Linked DNA regions of Lytechinus pictus. The protein of the gene in region 1 binds, or shares a complex with, the protein of each later gene. Links are inferred from orthologs where the notes say so. Each region holds a gene or a part of one and is shown on either strand. Other genes may lie near its edges.

Region 1 (8,364 bases):
TGGAACATGTTTCAACTTACCCCAAACATAATTATGAATAAAAACATTGCATATGAGAAAAAAATGTATTCAGTATTTCACACTCTTCTGAACATGTATTGTATACCATGCTTGTTTTTTTCTCAGTTAGGTCTGAGTGTGCATTTAAGGCCTATTGTAGGCCCCTAATGCAATATTTAAACCCTTATGAAACTGGGGGGGGTCAATTTAAGCCCCCACTTGACAAATTTGGTCACTACGCCGTCGCGCAAAATTTTTTGACCGCACCGCTTGCTGACTTTTTACTGTCAAGTCTTGCGCATCTTTCGAGCCCAAATTTGCGATGCCTGGGTGCTTGTTTTCGGAATTATGCAACATTTTGTACGTGCAGGTCGGACCCAAAATTGCTCAAAAATGTGATTCCGTGTACAAGGTCAATGCAAATTGTGTTTTTCAATCAAAAATCATAAATGTATGACTATTTTTATTTTTGTTGGTTCAAATGGATTTATTTTATGCTATTAATGATCGCAAAAGAGTCCCCGACAAAGTTCATCGGAAAAAACAAAGGTTCGAAAAAACAAAGAAATACAAGTTTAAAAAATAAAAAATACATAAAAAATTATATTTTTTGCAAGTTTTTGTGGATATTTGTTATAAAGGTAAAGATTGATACTCTCACCAAAAATTAGCATTCTACTAGCTTAATGAATTGATTTAAAGGCAAAAACATACAAAATTTTAATAGGGCAAATTTCATATGCTTATTTGCATAATTAATTAATAAATAATATAAACAGTTAATTTTTGTCAAGTAACTTTGATGCAGAAGTACAAGAAATTGCTGATAGTACACTTAATTGCATGTAAAATCAAACGCACACAAATAAGCGGAAATCTACTACACAGTTGGCTGGCATGAGTGGCTGTATAATAGAAAACATAAAGTTCAACAAATCCACTTTTAATATTTTGAACTTGAAAAAAATAAAGCAAATATGCTGAAACCATGTAATATTACGGTTGTAAGTAGTTTAAGTATAATTCTTAATTGACCATGCAGTGTTCCAACTTACCCCATACCATGTTCCAACTTACCCCGATGTAGGGTAAGTTGGAACGCTTGCGATAGTCTTTTTCAAGGTGGATTTTTTTTCAGTAACCATCATAGATTTAAAAATTTTATGGGGTACATTTGAAGCCCTTAGATATATGCTTCAAGCTGATATATTGATTGTTTCTCAAATAAAGTCTAGGCCTATTTGGATTTTACAGCCATTTTTGTCCAAAATGTTCCAACTAACCCCGGTCTCCCCTACTTTCCATAATCTTTTCTTTAATGAACTTATCTTCATTTGTAATGATTGCGATGGATTCGTAAGCTATAGGCCTAATCTGTGTCTTAAATTCAATTAGCTATTTTGTTACTGCAGATTTTTTGTTTTGTTTCACTGTTTCACATCCCAAGTTAGCCCAAATCCGACAATTAATTTTCATTGATTAAAATTAATCTCAGCAAAAAAATAATAATTATAATGGAAATGAAATAAAAATGAATAAATGATTTACCATTAACATTTTAGTTTTGTATCGTGTTTTTTTTTGCTGAACGCTATAAACACGTTTTTTACCTTATATAGGCCCTAATTTCTTTTAAAGAAATTTATTTTCATGTTGTTTAATAGATAAAGAGACAGCATGAGGGGTCAGAGAGATAGTGCCGCCCATTTCGATATTTCAAAAAAAAAATTAATGGAAATGGTGTGGGGATAGGACAGGGGAGAATAAAAGAAAACATATTCAAAAAAAATATTTGGGCCTACATTACCCCCGGACATAATACCCCGAAGAAGTTAAAATGACATCCGTTTTCGGTCGTCTTGCCATGCAAAAAGACGACCTGAAATTGATGACAACTAGCCCCCAATAAAAAATAACTTGGCACCATCCCAGATAAAATGAATCAATGAACCTTCTTGAACCTTCTGAAGTTTGCACCGGCAGGGCAGTAGACTGCAAATGGCCAGCGTGCTGCTCACGTGTGGGTTAGAGTGTTGCTCTAAAAAAACAAACCAAAAAATGTTTAAAGGTGATGTCAGTGTGGCTTGCCGTAAACGCATTTTCTCTCAATGCCGACGGTGGCGGGCGGTGTGCAAAGAAGATCATGCCTACGTAGGACATGTTAGTATACTATTCTACCTGCACTGGAACTGTGTATGTTAGCTGCAGTATACTTACACAAGTTTCATTATTGAAGGGAAAAATCAAACATTTGAAATATCTTGGTACACACATTCCATATTATAGCAACTCATCAGCAACTTTGGATAATGACAAACCTTGGATGACACCACAGATAAAAGCAATCATAATTGAAAGAGAAAAAGCTTTTGAGAAGAATAACAAACCTCTGTGGCGTAGTCTCAGAAATAAAGTAAATAGAATGATAAAAAGTGCAAAAAAACGTTATTATAACACACGTGTATCTCATCTTAAATCAACAAATCCAGCAGACTGGTATAAACAAATCAAGATTATTACAAAAAAGAACAACACATCTAACGTAATTGCTGTACCTGGTGTTGAACCTAATGATAAAGATCGTCAAGAGAAGACTGCTGATACCATTAATAAACATTTAATTAATATAGCATCAGATTTGGCGCCGTTGGATAGAAGTTGCTTACCAGCTTTTTTACCTTCTCCTTGTGTTTGCCCAGAAGTACAACCTTATCAGGTTTATTCTATGCTAAAGAAAATAAAATGCAGTAAAGCAGGTGTAACAGATGACTTACCCCCTCGTGTAATTCGTGAATTCGCTTGTGAACTAAGCCATCCTCTTGCCAATATCCTTAATACATCATTTCAACAAGGGTTAGTACCTTGGCAGTGGAAGCGAAGTCAGGTTGTTCCCATTCCCAAGTCAAAACCACCGAATATTAAAGAACTTCGACCTATATCTCTTACATGTCAATTCGCTAAAATTGCAGAATCATTCATTACGAAATGGTTATTGGAAGATATTTCTAAATATATTGACATTCATCAATACGGAAACAGACAAGGTCTGTCAACTACCCATTATTTGGTAAAATTATTGCATTGTGTATTGGACAACTGTGAAAAATCTAAATCAATATCCACTATTGTTTGCACAGACTTTTCCAAAGCCTTCGATAGACTTGACCATAATATTCTGATTCGAAAATTAATTGAATTTAACGTAAGACCTTGCATAATTGAGTGGATAGTTAGTTTTTTAGAAAATCGTTTTCAATCTGTTAAATATCAGGGTGTATTGTCGTCGTATATTAAAAATCATGCTGGAGTGCCTCAAGGCACAAAATTAGGCCCGATATTATTTTTGATCATGTTTAATGATGCATGTCAGAATGAATCTTTACCGCACTTTAAATATGTTGACGATCTTACTATAGTTGAAAATCGTTCAATACAAACTCCTTCTGTATTACAATGTCATCTCAATGCACTCGTTACCTGGTCATCTGATAATCATATGAAACTAAATCCGAATAAATGCAATGTAATCAGAGTTACTTTTTCTAAAAATCCACCATTACCTAATCTATTGCATATTGGTGACACTTCTCTGCAATATTCAGAAACTGTTAAAATACTTGGTGTCTATATTCAGTCAAACTTAAAATGGGATAAACAAATTTCAGATATTATAAAAAGGTGTAACAAAAAATTGTATATGTTCAGACTTGTCAAACAATATAAACTCCCTATGTCAGACCTTGTTCAAATTTACATTGGATATATTCGTCCAATATTGGAGTATTGTGTACCGGTATTCAACGGAGCACTAACTGCTAAACAGGTAAAAGACTTAGAAAAAATACAAAAAAAGAGTTTGCAAAATAATTCTTGGCTCAGATTATATAGACTATGAAGATGCACTAACAAAATGTGGATTAGAATGTCTTGAAAGAAGACGAAAAAAACTGTGTATGGAATTTGCTAAATCTCTTTTAAAAAACCCTCACTGTAACAACTGGCTACCAAAAAGAAAAAATATCTCAATCTCATTAAGAAGTGTTCCAAACTTTGCTCAGATAAAATGCAAAACAGATCGTTTTAGAAAAAGTGCAATACCTTATTTCATTGATTTACTAAATTCTAAATAAATTTCTACTTTCATACCCTTGAAGTCAACTTAAATCTTTGCCATTGTTTTAGTCTCCATTTCAATCCAATTGATATTTGAATTTTTAATTGTCTAATATTCATCACTTTTAATATTGTATTTACATAGTTTCTTTACCATTCTATTTTATTATATTTAATGAATTTTTATGTACACTTGCTCTTTAAAAATTATTTATTATTTATGTACATTACAGTACATGTTTAAATTGTAATTGTTGCTTTTATCCATGACTTGTGAACATTTTATTGTAAACATGCTAACTTCAGCCTTCTGGCTGTGTAACATGTATTGTTTTTATACGAAATAAACCATGATTGAATTGAATTGAATTGAATCTCGCAATATGTGTGAGTGGTCTGGAGGTGTCTTTCCAAGGACCATTCTTTGTATCGCCCAAATCGCCTTTGTGAAACAGTTGAGCGATATCTCGTTCTTACGTAGAATGGTTCTACGAAAGACCCTTTCAATGCAACAGGCCCCTGGTGATATCTAGCGGAATTAGTTTCGGCTAACAATTATTCGCGTTATATGAAGCTATGTTAACAGACAACTCTTGGCATGCTTGGTTTGCGTAGCCGTAGTCTCGTACTTCGTAGACATGTTCACCATGTTCACAGACAGTGCGAGGCCGAGGTTAGAAATAGTAATTATAAATTAGTATACTTACTAACCTCGCAATACGTGTGAGTGAGACACTAAAGTTAGTGAGAGTAGGCCAGCGCCATTATTATAACCTCGTTCGTAGGATGAGTGGCCAGGACCTAACTAACGTTAGATAACTTAGAATAACTTAAGACCAAGAGTTAAAACTTAGATAATTATAACAACATGAAAAAGCATGTGTGGGGCTGTAAAATTGGGCCACTCCACTCCCACCTCATCTGGAATAAAACGGGATATGGATTTTCGAGAGTACAAATAGCCATATGACATGTATGAGTTGGAAAAAAAAATATGATGAATAGGATATTCAAAAGGGGTTATTAAATGGTATAATTTTGTAATTCTCACCTCACCTCTAATTATAATTTAACAAGATCAAACGGCCCGAGCTCGGATCCAACGAAGATGGCGCTATAGTAATTCAATTCTGTGTATGTTTATGAGGCGAAGTTCAACGGTGGCGCTGGCAGTGCAGTGGCGAAAAGCGTCTTTGTTTTCCGACTTTTCCAGCCCAGATTCTTTTTACTTTTGTTCATGTGAGTTCCAACAATTTGTAATTTCTTATTACTGAGGCGTAACATAGATTCACGTACCTTACGGTACCGGTATGTGGTCTGTACTTTTTATCTTTAAATAAAAAATGAAACTTTTTCAAGTTCAACTCCTTTCTTAGTCCCATTCATTCAAAATCGTGCATTGAAAATTCGAGTTGCTTGTTTTGTATGAGTGTCCACCCCCCACCCGGGCCGCGTATTTTTTATTTACACCACTGCTCCGCCAAAATCCACAAAAATACGAAAGGAACGGCTCGCGGGCAAGTCTAATCTGTGCGCTCAAGCAATGCAAAGCTCTCGGATCGTTCTCGCGTGAGATTTGTGTTAAGTTCTCATTTGTATGAAGTTGATTATAGCCACTCCTAGTATGGTAAGACCACCTCTTTTGAAACCGACCACCTTGCGCGCGTTAAAATTATTGCGTATTACAAACGATACGCGCGGGAGAGTAGGCGCAGTGTCCATAGAAACGGTAAGAATCGATTTTACGAGAAAAAAAGAAGCAACAAACAGTAAAGATTTAGTAGAATTAATCAAAATTGTATTGACCAAACCCAAAACCCGCTGAAAAACCAAGAAATCCGATAGGAAACGGCTTTAGAACAAATATCCGTCGTCAATCGTCGAATCATGCGTCGGAGCTCGCAGTGGAAGTAGTGAGGCGATCATTTAGCATGTTGACGTCACTCATAGAACTGATTTGAAAGAGTAAAAATATTTCGCCACCGCGACAAGAATCGGCCGTAAACTTAGTGTACCGCGGGTGGTCGGTTTCAAAAGACGGGTGCAAATGAGCAAATGGAAAATCGTCGCATTCGTTGATCGTCGATATATACGCAAATTGAATCGGAGTCGCCGAGCGAAACATGGGAATCTGATCTGCTCAATTTTCTGCACAAATGAGACGAAAACTGGGTAAAATTGATGAATATTTTCGCAGATATGATGCTTAGAAGATTAGGTGGTCGATAAGGGGTAGTTCCAACCATACCAATGAGGTCCAAACATTAAGATGTATGGACCTCATAGGCGACATTACCCAAATTATGGGTTGGACAATGCTGTTCTGATTTCCAACCCAAGACTTTGGTAAATGTACACCTTAATACAAGTTAGAGTTATCCGATATACCTTTCATTCGGACGGCAAACCTTTATTTAGTTGTAAAAATAGTTGAAATTAAAATCGATTATTGTTAAACTTACATTTCAGGCCCTTTTTGTTGATTTTCGGTGAGCATTCCACACAGCTGCGACGAGTGATCAACTCCGAAGTGATACGCGTACTGGTCAGCTGATCGGTCAGGTGATCGGTTGGATATCTTTTTGTCAGACGTTCATAATTTATGTTAAGCGTATCAATCTTCAGTATCTTGATTTCAAAGCATCAGTATTGCAGAGAAAAGTCATTATTGATTGGAATCAGTGGCGGGGGGGGGGAGGGGGGGGGTGAGCATTTCTGCCCGTTCCCCCTTTTGAGATTTATAGTAAACATTTTGGAATTAAATATGTTATTAATACTAGTTATGGGGTGCCCCCCCCCCCCCCTCATGAGAATCACGTACAGCATTATTTGTAATGGGGATATTTCGTTCATATTCTTTTCTCTTTTTTGCCTTTTTTTTTAATTGCCAAATTCAAAATTTTACTGGGAACAAATTAACAATATGACTTTCTATACATCACTTTTAGGGACAAACTTTTTTTTATGGGGGTGGGGGTTGGGGGCTTGCCAAATATAATCAATGGTGGAAAAAATGACCTTCTTTTTAGTGACAACTTTATAAAAAAATTGTCAAATTTTACGCGAGACAAAATGACCTTCGATCATTGCTATAGTTAAAACCTTTTTTTTTTTTTTTTTCTTATTTTTGTGGGGGGGGGGGGGGGCTTGCCGAATATTACGCGGACAAAATGACTTTCATTTTGAGTGACCATTTTTTTTTAACTTGTCAAACTTTACGCAAGACAATATAATGACCGGTTTTTTTTTTTTAGTAAGAATCTTTTTTGGGAGTTGTCAAATTTTACTTTGGATTTCACCAAAAAAAAACGGGATAAGAGAAAAGGAATGAAGGAAGGAAAAGAAAGAAAGAAAGAAAGAAAGAAAGACAGAAAGAGAAAGGGAAGAGAAATAAAAGGCCATAAAAAAGCAAAAGGAAAGAAAAATGCATGCGAGAATAATTCCGAATGTTATGTCAAAATCTATTGCAAAATTGATATTTGTAATAAAAGTGACAAAGGTTTTGCTCGCTCGCCTCTTCATCTGGTAGGCGCGTAGCTAGGGGCGGTGCCCCCCGAAAAGGTCCCTCCCCCCAAAAAAAAATAAGGAGGGAATAGAGAAAATAAAAAGCGAAATGAGAAAAGGGGGATGTATATAACTTAGTTTATAATTGTTTTTCCTTTTTTTGGGGGGAAGGGGTCAAAACATTAACGTTATGTTTTTCTATAAATAGGTCTAATTGCTAAATATCCAGAGTTATCGAGACCCACCTGCTGATATTGCACTGGGGGTACACGATGGAAGGGTTAGGCCTAGGGGCCCCCGAAAGTTCTACAACCAAGATAAAAAAGAAATTAAGGGAATTAATGAAAAGAAAAGGAAAAGTGTAAGTTAAGATATCTATCTCAAATTTAGATTTGCACGAAAAGTTTTTTTCTCGCTTGCTTCACTCGCTTGGAACATATAAAGCAACTTTATTCCCACGCGCCATGTATGCCTACATTGGCCCTCTTTCTTTCTTTTATTTTTTATTTTTTTTACTCATCACGCTACCGTACTGCCACACACGGGTTTGCCCTAATGATCGTGGACAATCATAAAAAATATTATTTTCATACCATGTGACTGGGAAATTTTTGGCTCCACCCCCCCCCCCTCTCGATCCCTGTATCGATTTTGACTTGATAGGGGCCTATACCTGATGGAATTAGCTTCATTCAATATAAAATCATAACGGATAGAACGCCTTGAATACAGGCCAAACAGCCTAAC
Region 2 (8,133 bases), on another chromosome or scaffold:
TTAGCATCAACCCTGGATGCATAATTGGGAGGATATGAAGGGGGGTTGTGATGCTCAACTTAACATTAACATTCCATTTGACATTGGGAATCATCACAATAATATCATGTGCATAAAATTCATTGCTGTTTTTATTTCAGAAAAGATAGTTTTGATGCATAACTTGTCTGTACAAAAGGGAAATAAAAATATATAAATCAAAACCAATTTCAAGTATCACTCATACATTTTTATTAATTTAATTTGATCATCACAATTCTTGGATTAACCTCAAGATTTAATTCAGCTGAGTAGCCAAAGATTTTTATTTTTTTTTAAAGGACAAACAAGAGTCATTATTCAATTCAATACCATAATTTTTTTTTACCAAAACTTGAAATAGGCTTAAACAACAGATCATTGTAGATGCACCCTGTCAAGTGCTAGGATGCTGTCAATTCAGCAATTTGGGGACTGGGTGATATTACTTTCTATAACAGAGATTAAGTGCAGGGATCAGAAATATAGCAATATCTTGTTGAAAACTGAGTTTACTGTGTAGAAAAATACAACATTTAACTAAAATTGTAGCTTTTTTGGTCTCTGAGGTTGCTTCAGCTATAATAAACTAAAGTATGTTTGCACTTTAATATAACTAAAGATATTACTACTCCAGCTTTAGTTCAATTAATCATCATCAATATGATTTGTCCATTCAATGAATAAATTCTACCAGCAGAACCATCCAAATGTGTACATCACCTGGGTCATGTGGACAAATTTCTTGAAGGAAATTACCATCCTGGAGTGGGTGTACACTTGCAACCCTTAGATTGAAAGTCAAAAGTCTGAACCACTAGACGATGTGGCTACAATAATTTGGTTGAACTGTAGGAAGTAATGCAACTTAGCTCCACTTGGTGTTCAATCTTTCTTCCAACAACGTCTTTAAATATCTTCTTCTGATATTCTCATACAAAGAAATTCCATAAGCTAACTTCAGCGGCTAGGTATTAGCCATCACAGAAGAAGCATAAATGGGATTGTATTCTTAATTATCATTTCATTGTTTGTTGTGTTGTAGATCCTTGTTGTAATGGCTTTTGTTCTTGTTGACCAGTTCTCATTTGTGAAGCCATTTGTTGATGTTGTTGCTGCTGATGTTGTGAAGCATGTTGCTGCTGTTGTTGCTGCTGATGAGGATGTTGCTGAGGTGGCAAGGGCGCTTGCATGATCCCTGCTGGCTGATTTGAAGTCCCACTTGTTGCCACTCCGCCGGCAGCTCCTGGGACTCCTTGTTGCTGCTGTTGCTGGGTGAGTTGTTGATGTTGCTGCATGTTCTCTAGATGAGACTGTTGTAGTCTCATACGCCTCCGAGTGTAGTGTTGCCAATGCAGAAGCTGCTGATCCTCAATAAACTTGACACACTGTGCATTGGCTAATTCTCTCCTAAAGTGTTCATACTGCAACAGCTCCAAGAAATGAAGACATTGTGGAAATCTAATACCAAAACAAGTAACAAATGGATCACTTTAAAAAAATCAATCAATCAAGTATTACATACACATTTAAAGGGGAAGTTCGCCCTGAAGAAAAGTTTGTTGTAAAAACAGCAGAAAAAATAATAAAAAATATTGGTGAAGGTTTGAGGATTAAAGATAAAGAAAGTTATTAGAATTCAAAGTTTTGGATTTGTGACTTCATATGCGTGCAGCATTTCTACATAGCGAATGGTAAAAAATCAATGAATTTCAAATTTTTTATGGTTCCTGATGACTTTATTTTGTTTTCTATTTATGATTGGGTGTGAAATGATTTGTCTATTGATATACAAAAGGCTCAGTAAAACCATTTTCAATTTTCTGAGAAAATGACATTTCATTGATTTTTTACCATTCGCTATGTAGGAATGCTGCTCGCATATGACGTCACAAATCCAAAACTTTGAATTCTAATAACTTTCTTAATCTTTGATGGATTATCTTCAAACCTTCACCAATATTTTTTATTACTTTTTCTGCTATTTTTACAATAAACTTTTCTTCAGGGTGAACTTCCCCTTTAAGTCTTCAAAATTCAATCTCTAATGTGTTGGTATTTACTTAAGACCAGATAACGCAAAAACATGTGCTATTTAGTACCTCTGCTATTTCGAACAGGGACTGATTCCTGTAGTCCTTTAGAGATTTGACTTTAGACACGCTCACCAGTATACATGTGTATATCTTTCTAGCACCACTTAATTTTAGCAAATTCAATTTTATTGACTCATTTTGATGCACAAGACTTTCAAACAAGCCTGGAAATTATATGTAAATAGTAGTTACTAAGCTAATGTCTGTATACTGAATTCAGTTCTAATTTGATCTCTGGTATAAAGTAATATTTCAAATATGTATAGCCAATCATGACACAAATCTCTCTTAAACAGATTCAATTTGTCAGCTTATTTCACACTCAGGCCATTCAGACCTGTCTGGGAATAATTACTAAAGGTTTCCTTCATCATTAATCATAAAGAAAGAACTCTGAAATATACTCAAGGATCACTTTTTTATCATTCTAATAATATGACAAACAACACATTTAGGATTTTATGTTGTGAAAACCTCTATTACGTATCCTCTCATAAAAAGAACACCTAATCTTGTGATAGACTACATGTAGATATGTATTAAAGTCATGGGGAAACTGTATGTGTGTGACATTACATAGCATTAGTGATCTCAATATTCAAATGCTCATAACTTTCTTATCATTCATTCAAACTTCCTCAAGCTTTCTGTTTCTATTTCTTAGAGTTTTCTCTTTTCTATGAATTCAACTGGTTTCAAGGGTTTCATTCTCTTGAAGGAATAGCACCATATATTGTGCTGGAAAAAGTATCAATTCTACAGTAGATTTTCCAAATCATATTCAATGAGTAATGGTATAAGCATACTTCTATGGGTTAAAAAAAAAAGAAAACAAAGAAAGTTGATTTGAATAAGTCTTAAATGGATTACAATCAAACTCTGATTCTTACTTGAGATATTTGGCATACTTAGGCTCCTTCCAATATTGAAGATACTGAAGATAGTTAACAAACTTTTTATCTTTGAAGTAACCTCTCTGGGCAAGAACTGTAAAATGAAAGAAAAATATCAGAATAATAATTGAAGATAAGGGATGTACCACAACGTATAAAGATTTATAACAAGTATTCTATGAACAATTGTGAGAATTCCTATCTCTTTCATTGCATATACTATTAACACAATATCAAAAGGATTTTTTTTGTTTTGTACCGTCCCAAAACAACATGGTTCAATAAAATATGAAGAGATTGTAAGGATTTTTTAAGTGTAAGCCAGTATTCTGAATTTGAAGAACATTTCAGGAACTGCATTAAGAGAGTAGAGGTATCTACTATTCATACTTACAGTTAAGATAGTGAGGGTTGGCTAGGCACTGAACAAACTCCAATTCCACTTCAAATCGGATCTGCTCTTGGTCTTGTGGAGGTTCCATTCCTTTATAAGACAAATATACAAAATAAGAATAAAGATGAAGCTGATTAGAAAATACACTTAATGTACATCTACTTTTATGATACTTAAAATTGATTTTCATTTGGCGTTACAGCTAAAAAAATCTCAAAATATATAAAAAAATTTACTTTCTTTTGACGTTATTATAGCAATATACTCTTTTATGTTGACACTTGACAGTCCTCCTTTGTCTTTTTTCTCCTTGTTCTACAAATACATTAAACTATCTAATGTACACTTGTACAGTATTGTAATGCAAGTACAGTGACTCAATAAAAATGGAGTAACTCTCACGCATATATATTATGCACTTTTGTATGTGTGTGTGAATTGTTTGCAGACATCTGCCGCCCTTTATATGCGTCTCGTAGCTTAGCTACCAACAAAGAGGACAAGATGGCCACGTAAACATCGGTAAGTTTGATCTCATCTTCTCATTATAATTTTTTTTTTTTTTTAATGTTTTAAAATATAATAAATATTGTATAAATGTCGGAATGAAAGGAGGAGAGCTAGAATGAAAAAAAAAGAAAATAATGGAAGGAGAGAAAGAACGAAAAGAAAAAGGAGAGGAAGGGAGAAAAGGAAGCAAAAAAATAAGGAAAGAAAGAATGAAGGAAATTTAAAAAGGAACAAGAAGGAAAGTAAGAGAAAGAAGGAAAGAAAAAATTAAGAGAGAGAAAGGATCAGCCTGGAAAGAAAAATAGTAAATAAAGATAGAAATTAGAATAAAAAAGGGCAAGCAGGAAGGATAGAAGAAAGAAGGATAAAAAAGAAAGAAAGAGGAAAAAATTCAAACTTCAAGCAACAAAAATCCAATCATCTAACAAAAATCATATTTGGTGTTTTTTAATACATTCTTACAATTTTTAAGAAATAAAATGTTTTAGAAATGAATAAGATTTAAAAGTGAAACATTGTCAAACTTAAAAATTAGATGAAATAACGGTGGCATCATACACAGGCATCTCCCATCTCATTACAAGTTCGCACCGATCACAACAAGACTCAAAATGAAAGCTGAAACAACTAGATCTAGTTATTTGTTGTTCCTCCCGATTCTCAAAATTTCCCGCTAAATTTGTAATTATTTTGGTGGAGAAACTGTTTATCAGGTGATAAATAATTTGGAGGGAGAAGACGTGTTTTTGCTTTGCTCTGAATATTGTCAACAAATACTTGGAAATACTTTGAAATGACTGCTTCATTTTACATTGTGTGAAAGCTAATTGGACACCAAAGCCAGTGATGTGATTTTTATTGTTTGACTTTTGAAAACTGCGACGTTATCGTCGGTAAGAACATTAATTTTCGTCAATTTTAATATTCAATCTTGTTTGAAAATCAACATCACGCGCGAGATACTAACGCGCATCACTAAGACGCATATGACTTTACGCTAAAAGGCATCTTTGAAGCGCAACATCCATCTCCATCCATCTCATCCAAATCAGGTCGGGTCAGTGTGACGTCATCGATAAACAGAGTATGCCAGGACCTAAGAAAAATCAGTCCATAACGTTCGAAGATTTCATTGAAATCAAGTCTGAACTTCAAAAACTAAACAAAACACTAACATCACAACTCAATGAAATTAAATCTGGTCAAGATGAACTTCGAAAATCTGCTGAGTTCTTCAGCGATAAAGTGGATGAGCTCACCTGCGAGGTGAAAAGGCTGAGTAGTGAGAATGCTTCTATGAAGAAAGAAAATGAGGATCTGAAAGCAAAGATGACGACACTTGAACACCAAGTGAATGATTTGGATCAATATCACAGAAGGATCAACTTAGAAGTGGCAGGTGTTCCTGAGAAGGAAGGTGAGAATGTGAGGGAGGCTGTCCTTCACGTCATGAAGAAAATTTCACCAGAGGTATCCAACGACGACATTGATGTGACACATCGACTTGGTCAGAGAAGAGAAGGTGGTCCAGCCAGACCAATCATCGTTAGATTCACGACCAGAAGGATGAGGGATACTCTATACTCAGGCCGGAAAAAACTGAGGGAAACATCAACCCGTCAACTGGGATTCTCAAGAGATGAAGGAAAGGTGTTTCTCAACGAAAATCTAGCCCCAGCTAAGAAGTCTCTCCTGAAGAAGGCAAATGACGAGAGAAAGAAGGCGGGATACATGTTCTTATGGACAGTGAATGGCACCATTCTGGTGAGGAAGAGCCCGAATGTTCCACCGGTTGCAATTCATCGAGAAGAGGATCTGAACAAAATTAAGTAAAACTCTCTTACGCATATATGTTTATATTATACTGGTGTTTTATGTAAATAATGATTGACTTTGATATGATTACGAACATTTCCAATGATTCCAATGATGTTATTAATGATATTGGAGCTAACAATGATGAACTTAAAATTGATTTAGATCCAAATGATGGGGCTTCGAGTGTCATATCCTCAAACTACTACACTCAGGCTTCAGCCAAAAACATTTTCAAAGGTTTACCTTCTTCCTGCTTGTCTATTTTGCATCTAAATATCAGAAGCCTTAACAAGAATTTTGAACAATTTCGTTTATTTTTAGATAACTCAGGTGTTCCCCAAAATACAGTAATAGGTTTAACTGAGACATGGCTGTCAGATAAATATATTAATATGAATGCACTCCCAGGTTATGATATACTTACAAATAATCGTGTTGATAAAATTGGTGGTGGTGTTGCAATTTTTGTGCCGAGTCAATTTGAGTATGTTATTATTGAAGACATGAATTTAATGAATGAAACTGCAGAAACTTTATTTATTGAAATTAGTGATCGTGATAACAGAAAAACTGTATTGGGAGTTGTTTATAAGCCTCCTCGCAGCAATAGTGCTGATTTTCTAGACACTTTAAATAATTTACTACATTATCATTCTGTTCAAAACAAAAGATGTATCATAATGGGAGACTTTAACTATGACCTGTTAGCGAGTGATACTAATATTTTTGCAAATGACTTTTTAGAGACATTCCTTTCTGCCTCCTTTTTGCCACTTATTTCTCGACCCACTAGAATCACTAATACTTCCGCAACTCTGATTGACAATTTTTTCTCCAATATACGTTCAGAATTTAAAGCTGGTATAATTATTTCAGACATGTCTGATCATTTCCCAATTTTCATGTATTGTTCTAATCAATATCAGCCAAACAAACTTCCCGATTACGTATCTAAGAGGCGTGTGTATAGTGATATAAATATATCTCGTTTGAAACAGAGTTTAGAAGAAGAATCTTGGGATGATGTATTTAGTACAGAATGTGTTGACAAGTCCTACGAAACATTTATTGATATCTTCATGAGTCATGTTAATGAAAATATTCCTTTTGCAAAGCCCAAGTCCAAAAATTATAAAAGATCACCCAGACTACCTTGGATAACAAATTCAATTCTTCGTTCGATAAATAGAAAAAATCGATTATACTATAAATATATATCAAGATTAACTGAGAATACTCGGAGCCAATATACTAATTATAAGAATACACTTACAGGGGTCATCCGTACTGCTAAAAAGGCATATTACCATGATCAATTTAATCAATGCAAGAATGATCTTAAAAAAACATGGAAATTGATCAATTCTACCATCAATAATGGACCAAAGTTTTCAAAGATAACTAAGCTTATGCATAATGATTCTATTATTGAAGATAAAGTTCAGATGGCAAATATTTTCAACAATTACTTTTCACAAGTTGGATTTAAGCTCTCTAGAAGTATACCAACAAACTCCCATTCATTTCATCAATATCTGGGGGATAGAAATCAAAGTTCTATGTTTTTCTCTCCTACGAACGCACAGGAGATAATTAAAATTATATCTAGCCTAAAATCAAATAAAAGTGCAGGATTTGATAACATTGATAACAACCTTTTACTAAAAACTATGAATTATATAATTGACCCTCTTATTTATATATTCAATTTGTCATTATCATCGGGAAATATTCCAAAATCAATGAAAATTTCTAAGATAATACCAGTCTTCAAAAAAGGTGATAGTTCTTTAGCAAGTAATTACAGACCGATTTCATTGCTTACAAACTTATCTAAAATTCTTGAAAAATTGGTTCACATACGAACCATATGTTTTTTTAAAAAGCACAACATCCTATCCGATACTCAATTTGGTTTCCGGGAAAAGAGTAGCACTTCCCACGCAATACTTTCTTTGGTTCAAACAGTTGCCAAAGCTTATGACAAGTCTTCGAATACGATTGGTTTGTTTTTAGATTTTTCAAAAGCATTCGATACAGTTGATCATAACATTCTCCTTTATAAACTTTCTCATTATGGAATAAGAGGGGAACCACTAAAGTGGTTCAAGAATTATCTAACCGGGCGTTCACAGTTCGTTTCACTTGATTGTAATATTTCTGAACGTAAACCTGTCCTTTGTGGAGTTCCACAGGGCAGCATTCTTGGCCCACTTTTGTTCATTACTTATATAAATGATATTGATATGTCATCTAGATTGCTCCAATTTATACTTTTCGCTGATGACTCTAATATATTTCTGTCGCACCCCGACCCAGAGCAATTGACGCAAATATTCAATGACGAACTAAAAAATGTGTCTAATTGGATAACAGCTAACAAACTCTCTCTTAACCTAGAAAC
Region 3 (7,702 bases), on another chromosome or scaffold:
ACTGTTTTGTGAAAAAAAAGCGAAACTTTAGTTTAACAGTCATAACTTTCTTATTTTTCGTCCGATTTTGATGAAAGTTTCAGCGTTATGCTAGTTTGATTTATCTCTATTTATTCAAATCAACATTTTTCTGGGGTGGACTTGACCTTTGAGCTTTGAGGGCAATATGCAACACATTTGTTGAATCGGAAAATGACCATCCCCAAGCCTTGAAATAAGCGGGCGCTGAGTGCAAATTCGCGCTCATAAAGCCATCAATTGCGCCCATAAAGCCCCAAAATCATCAAAATTTTGACGACCGGGCGCAAATATTTTCCCGGTAATTGCGCCCGCCGTGAGTGAGCAGTGAAGCCATATCATACATGTAATTTAAATATCTTAAAAGCCAAAATCAAGTAACTTTCAATTTACGATAAACACAGTTTAAATTGCCAAGTGCGTCTTTTTTTCTGTACCATAAAAAGTGAGCTACGTCCGTCTTTTTTTTTCTGTAATACATGTGCGCGCGTGCTTCCGGTAGCGGTTTTTCCATACTTCACCATATGCAATTTCTAATGCACACATTTCCAGTTGGGATATCACAATTCTGCGATATAGTAATTCCAATTGCACAGGAGATAAATCCGTTAAAATCCCTGTTCACAGCACATACGATGTGCGAGTCTTTTATCCTCAAAGTCGCCGACTTTGCTTGTCAAAACGGAGCCTTAATAATCCAAAATCACTTAGCTTATAGTTGTGAATTGTAGCTTTTTAATTTCTTTCTTGGAGAGAGGTAAATATCAGACAATAAATCATCAAACAAGGCTCCATCTAAAAAAAAAAAGAGGAGGATGCTGTGCACTTGAGTGTGGTGTTAGCTAGCCAGTTTGAGCTCATGTTCTCTGCCAGAGCTCTGGGTGAGAATTCTATCAGTAATGGCCTAAGTGATGGTGATTTTCCGTTTCAGATACAGTTTAGATTTCATGTTAATTTTTGAAAACTGTCAAAAAACTTTATGATTTCTTCATTGTGATGAATATTTAAGTTATTAATGAATACATTTTCACCGAATTTAGACTCTCCCAGAATGAAAGGCATTTTCTGTGGAGATCTGCGTTTTCAAATAACTTGTGAAAAACTTAAGGTACATGAACCTACAATACATGTACATAGCCTGTGGCTATGTGCTGGAATTTGAATAGACTGAGTTAGATATTGATATAATTTCTTCATGTCTTTAACATAATTTATATGCAATCCAAGTGCACCTCACAGTCACACTCACCCACACCCGTGATTCTAACCATGAAAAAAACCTTAAAAATTATTATTTTTTTTCTAAATTTATTATTTTTTTATCTGAATTCTCTTTCTCCATCTCTCTCTTTTTTATATTTTCATTTTATTCATATTTTTTTTTTTTTGGGGGGGGTTCATTGTTCGTGGTTCATTAAAGATGAAAAATAAATAAGCCCATGTGTGTGTGGTTGTAAAGGGGATGTGGAGTGAGGGTGTCAAAACACACTTAAACATTTAAATCTGATTTCTTAAATGTTTGAATAAGCCTAATACTTAGCATGCTATTCATGTACTAATTAAAAAATTGTAGGAGCTGCGCTTACTATAAACAAATTTGCGGTGTGGTTCACTTTTATATATATTTTTTCTAAATTGCCCCCGGTTCCTGTAAAAAGCCTGTGAGCCGGGGGCAATTAAAAAAAAAAAATTGATCCCGGCTCTCAGGTGCTTATTTCAAGGCTTGGCCATCGCCCAAAGAAAAAACCTTCCCTAATTCATACATCAGCATCAAGAAAACGTCACCTGAGAAATAAAAGATAAAGGCCGAACAAAAATTGATAATATTCATGAATTATGCAAACAAAAAATCACTTTTAAAACACAATTTTGTTCATCCATTTACCCATTTCATATTTTCAGCATCAAAAGACCTTTTCGAACTCGGAATCATGCTCGAAAAGAGAGAAAATTGATGTTTCATCGAATAGCGACGATATGAGGGAGAAAATAAAACCCGGAAGTAAGATCCCACAAAACTTAATATTTTCAAGATGGCGACTTTTTTGGGATGTACGAGTGAAAAGATCGTCTCTGTAAAATTAATGGACCTCAAAGTCAAACTCAAGAGTCAAGACACATGATGTAAGTTTTAAATGTAATCGTCTGGCATAAAAAATTAAAATTTATTTCCCTTACTCCTTAGTCCTTACAGTTACATACCATTCTTATTTTTAAAAAAGTTTGAGTGTTTGTCGAAATTATGTTATTGATCTCACCAATTTAACACGGTGACAGATACGAGAGTGTCGTACTCTCGAACCGGCTGTGATAGCTGTGATAGTTTTAAATGTAATCGTCTGGCATAAAAAATTAAAACTTATTTCCCTTAGGCCTAGTCCTTACAGTTACATACCATTATTACCATTCTTATTTTTAAAAAAGTTTGAGTGTTTTGTCGAAATTATGTTATTGATCTCACCAATTTAACACGGTGACAGATACGAGAGTGTCGTACTTTCAAACCGGCTGTGATAGCTAAATGTTGGCAAATCTGAAGTTACTTTTAACATAGGCATTCGTGCTTTCTTAGCAGTCAGGTAAAACAACCTCGGTATAACTAGCCAGGCGGCTTCTAGAGAGTAGAAATCATTTACTAACGTAAGGTCACTCTCATGAAGCCAGGGCTTCCGTCATATACTTTTGTGTGTACCACCAAAAAACCTGAAACTTTCGCCCCCGAGATTTCTACTTTCTTTACTTTCGCCAACGTTACAGACGCGTGCGTTCGGGTAACGTTGGGGAAGAACAATAGAAAACAAGATGGCGGCGTAAACATCGGGCAAGTCTCTTTCGTCTTTACACAATATTTCTCTCATTTTTTTGATGAATTCTTGTTAAAAAATAACAACGAGAGCGTAGAAATGTCGGAAATAAAGTTTTATCCCATGTACATGATTTAGATTTTAGGGCTAGATCTTTTAAAAAGAAAGTAGAAATCTCGGGGGCGAAAGTTTCAGGTTTTTTGGTGGTACACACAAAAGTATATGACGGAAGCCCTGGCTTCATGAGAGTGACCTTACGTTAGTAAATGATTTTTACTCTCTAGAAGCCGCCTGGCTAGGTATAACATAACATAACATAACATAACATTAACAATAACATGTTCAATATCTAATTCACTGACACAAATATGAACGTATGGGTCACAGAAATGACATTAACAATAACATGTTCAATATCTAATTCACTGACACAAATATGAACGTATGGGACACATTGAACAAGTTCTCTCACCAAACATTAGCGTCCGTTTTCGGCCAGTCAGCAACAAATGCAAGCTCCATCTTCCCAGTATCCAATGCTTCTCATTAATTTGTAAAAGGAACACTTGATTTGAAAGGTTCGCAAATTTTGATTCACTTTTAGGCAAAACTGCAAAATTCAGGCTGCTGCAACCAACTCAATATTCATCAACGTAGATGGCGCTTGAGAGTGACGCGTTTTTTGTTTGTTCAAGGCAGTTTTTATTGTTTTTCTGATTTCTTTCAATATTCGCAATGCACCCCGAAGAACAAAAAAAAAAAAAAAAAAACAACAACAATAATAATAATGAAAAAAAAGAACAAACATAAATCATATATCAAAAAATAGAATTGTAATGTACTCCTCCTCTAATTTTCTTTTTTCCTTATTTTCTTTTTGCATCCACTAGAGGATTCTAAAACCTATACTTCTAACTTTACTGTTCTGCTCTTTCCACAGCTGTGAACATTGCTGATTCAGCATCTACTGGATAAAGACAAACGGTACAAGAACCCATTTATGTTCACAGCTTTTGTGTTCAAACCTGCCTAGCTACCACCATGCCTACCGTATGCTGCCCAATTCCAGGCTGCGACTACGCCACGCCGGATCTGGATGCCTCTATTGTTGCTGCCCTGCTCACGACCCACTCCACAATTCATGCCTCTGCTGGGACAGGGTCTGCTGCCAAGATAGAGAAGGTCAAGAGGCCCACCATAGTTGCAGCCGGTACAAGCGAGGACTGGGCTTACTTCACTTCTCGATGGTCCGATTATGTGGAGTCTACCAAGATATCTGGCAATTAAGGACAAGGTCGTGCAACTCCTTGAATGCTGCGATGAGCCTCTTCGCAAGGACCTTATACAAGATCCTCTGGCGTCAGCCTCACCACCAAGTCTGAAGCAGAGGTGCTGGCGGCAATCAAGAGGCTCGCTGTGCGTGAGGAAAACACCATGGTAGCTCGAGTGGCGCTACATAACATGCGCCAGGACCGGGATGAGTACAGTCCGCAGCTTCGGGCCCGCTTACGTGGTCAAGCAGGGATCTGTAAGTTCATCATTAAGTGCCCTGGTTGCTCTATGGATGTCAACTACACTGATGAGATACTGCGGGATGCCCTGACCAGGGGAATCGCTGACCCCGAGATTCGATCAGCTCGACCTCTTGGGGGACAAGAACCAGACCATGGACTTCCCAGGACCAAAATCCAATTGAAACCAGTTGGATTTCCAACTGGTTTCAATTGGTTTCAATTGGTTTCAATTGGTTTTAACTGGAATATAACAATTTCCAATTGAAACCAGTTGGGCAACTGGAAATCCTAACTGGAACCCGTTGGGCAACTGGAAATCCTAACTGGAACCAGTTGGGTAACTGGAAATGACTTCCAACGGGAAATGATTTCTAACTGGAACCAGTTGGGTAACTGGAAATCCTAACTGGAACCAGTTGGGTAACTGGAAATGACTTCCAACTGGAAATGATTTCTAACTGGAACCAGTTGGGTAACTGGAAATCCTAACTGGAACCAGTTGGGTAACTGGAAATCCTAACTGGATCCAGTTGGGTAACTCAGTGGAAATGACTTCCAATTGGTTTCCAATTGGAAATTTTCCAGTTACCCAACTGGTTCCAATGAAACCAGTTAATTTGCATATTATCTGCCAGTGTGCACAGATTAATGTTTTATGTGATTCATCATCATTTAAAATGTATATATTTAATTCTTTTCTATTTCAAGTACCATACTTGTTTCAGATAAGTGTTTAGAATGCTTAGCAGTGAAAACCATGTTCATAAATGTTATATATTATAATTAAAACAGATTATAAGATAATTAGTACATCACTAACTGTTACCAAATTACATCAAATACAAATACATATATTTGAAGATCTTTCTTGTTATATACATACATTATGAAAGTCTATTTTATCAATGCACTTAACAATGGTATTATAGACATAGAGCACTGCTTCTTTGTTGGCATGAGCAATAGTTAGTGCAAAATCTAATTAATTTGTAACTAATTAAGTCATTCCAACTGGAAGTTCCAATTGGATTCAGTTGGAAACCAATTAGTTTCAACTGGTTCCAGTTGCCTCCAATTGGTTTCAACTGGAACCAATTGAAACCAGTTACCTCCAATTGGATTCAACTGGTTTTAATAGGGAAATTGGAACAACTGGAACCAATTGAAACCAGTTGCCAACTGGTTGCTTAATTGGTTTCAACTGGAACCAATTGAAACCAATTGCCAACTGGTTCCAGTTGCCCAATTGGTTTTAACTGGAACCAGTTGGCAACTGGTTTCAATTGGTTCCAGTTGTTCCAATTTCCCTATTGAAACCAGTTGGCCAACTGGTTTCAATTGGTTTTGCTCTAATTGGTTTCAGCTGGATTTTGGTCCTGGGTTAGAAGATGTCTTCCAGTTCATCGAGGCGAAGGAGGCTGGCAAGCGTTCTGCTTCATCCCTCCTGGACTCTCACGTCGTAAACTCCGCTAGCAGCTCATATCGGAAAACCAATTAAGCAAATGCACCTCAAGGAAGGCCAAGACTTGTGTAACTACTGTGGCAAGAAGGGACATGGACGGGGTGCCCCTGCTCACGTCCGTAAGACACAATGTGATGCCTATGGACACAAATGCAGGCACTGTGATAGATTCCATCACATGGAGAACGTATGCCGAAGCAGGGACAAACCAAAACGTCTCCCTCCGGTGACCCCTGAGGAACAGGAGAATGCTCTATTTGACTCCTTTTGCTCTGTTCATGGCTATGATCACTCCTGCGGAGGCCATGGCATTCCCCTTGATCATCACGTTTATGATAGCCTTAACCAAGCATGGATCAGAAGGAAGTCTTCCCCGCAACCCTTTGTAGATGTGACTGCTCTGGTTGTCCCTGATGACTATGAAGCTCTTGGATTTCGGCTCTCCTCCCCTACGATGCCTCAATCTACCCCTGCTATGGCTGACACTGGGTGCAGAGCTGCTTGGCCGGCATGAAGATAGTTCGCCGCCTTGGATTACGTCAACGGGACCTCATCCCTGTTAGTATGAAGATGCGGACTGCCACTAAAGGGGGCGTCAGGATTCTTGGGGCCATTCCATTGTGTCTGTCTGGCACGGGTGCCCAAGGCCGTACCGTCTGGACGAGACAGCTTACCTACGTCACAGACAGTTCTGATCAGCTCTTCCTCAGCCGGGAAGCCTGTGTTGGCCTTGGAATCATCTCAGATAGTTTCCCACAACTGGGTGCGACACGAGACCCGCCCCTGTCGGACGCGGCTGCAGTCCTTGAGGGGCCTCATACAAGACGTGCCTGCCACTGCCCTCAACGTAGATTGCCCCCACCGCCTCCCACCTCACTACCTTTCCCGGCAACTGAGGACAACCGTGCCAAGCTCCAGCAGTACCTCCTTGATTATTACAAGAGTAGTACGTTCAACACTTGCGAACACCAACCACTGCCCCTGATGGATGGCCCTCCCATTAAACTGATGGTGGACCCCGATGCAGAGCCTATCGCACATCACACCCCCGTGCCTGTACCACTCCACTGGCGGGATGCAGTCAAGGCAGGGTTAGATCACGATGTTCAGCTGGGTGTGCTTGAACCTGTACCTGTTGGTGAGCCTGTCACTTGGTGCCATAGGATGGTTGTGTGTGCCAAGAAGAATGGCAAACCGAGAAGGACTGTCGACTTCCAGGCCCTCAATGCTCATGCAACCCGCGAGGCACACCACACTCAATCCCCTTTTCTCCAAGCGAGGTCAGTTCCACACGGCAAGAAGAAGACTGTCTGTGATGCTTGGAATGGCTACCACAGTGTACCCATCTGCCAGGAAGATCGCCATCTCACAACATTCATCACACCCTGGGGTAGATACCGCTACAAAACCGCGCCTCAGGGATACATCGCTTCTGGTTACGGCTACACCAGGCGATACGACGAGATTGTATCAGCCATCCCATACAAGACAAAGTGTGTTGATGACGTCTTACTCTGGGCGGACACATTAGCTGACAGCTTCTTCCAAGCAGTCGAATGGCTAGACATCTGTGGTAGGAAAGGGATCATCCTCAACCCTGCCAAATTCACACTTGGCGCAGATGTTGTCGAATTCGCAGGATTTGAAATCACTACTGACAGTGTCCGGCCATGCCAGAAATACCTGCAGGCGATCCTTGATTTTCCAGCACCGTCTAATATCACTGATGTGCGGTCATGGTTTGGGCTTGTCAACCAAGTATCGTATGCCTTCAGCATGACAGAGAAGATGTTACCATTTCGTCAGCTCCTGAAGCCCAGTACGCCATTCGTGTGGACTACTGCCCTCCAGCGTGCCTTTGAAGACTCCAAGGCTGTTATTGCCGGCGAGATCGAAGATGGCGT

Evidence for each region. The genes of interacting proteins can lie anywhere in the genome.
Region 2: mediator of RNA polymerase II transcription subunit 23-like (region 1) and mediator of RNA polymerase II transcription subunit 31-like share a complex: the UniProt entries of both Drosophila melanogaster proteins name them as parts of the mediator complex. The link is inferred for Lytechinus pictus from reciprocal best matches to the Drosophila melanogaster genes MED23 and MED31.
Region 3: mediator of RNA polymerase II transcription subunit 23-like (region 1) and mediator of RNA polymerase II transcription subunit 16-like share a complex: the UniProt entries of both Drosophila melanogaster proteins name them as parts of the mediator complex. The link is inferred for Lytechinus pictus from reciprocal best matches to the Drosophila melanogaster genes MED23 and MED16.

Annotation. Positions count from the first base shown.
Region 1 is NC_087261.1:120,495-128,858, forward strand, and holds the start of mediator of RNA polymerase II transcription subunit 23-like, read left to right. Parts: upstream 1-5,257; 5' UTR 5,258-5,352; intron 5,353-8,364. UniProt on the Drosophila melanogaster protein: Component of the Mediator complex, a coactivator involved in the regulated transcription of nearly all RNA polymerase II-dependent genes.
Region 2 is NC_087246.1:17,367,169-17,375,301, reverse strand, and holds the start of mediator of RNA polymerase II transcription subunit 31-like, read right to left. Parts: upstream 3,498-8,133; 5' UTR 3,490-3,497; coding exon 3,402-3,489; intron 3,102-3,401; coding exon 3,005-3,101; intron 1,480-3,004; coding exon 1,038-1,479; 3' UTR 1-1,037. UniProt on the Drosophila melanogaster protein: Component of the Mediator complex, a coactivator involved in the regulated transcription of nearly all RNA polymerase II-dependent genes.
Region 3 is NC_087257.1:27,440,619-27,448,320, forward strand, and holds the start of mediator of RNA polymerase II transcription subunit 16-like, read right to left. Parts: upstream 3,498-7,702; 5' UTR 3,345-3,497; coding exon 3,295-3,344; intron 1-3,294. UniProt on the Drosophila melanogaster protein: Component of the Mediator complex, a coactivator involved in the regulated transcription of nearly all RNA polymerase II-dependent genes.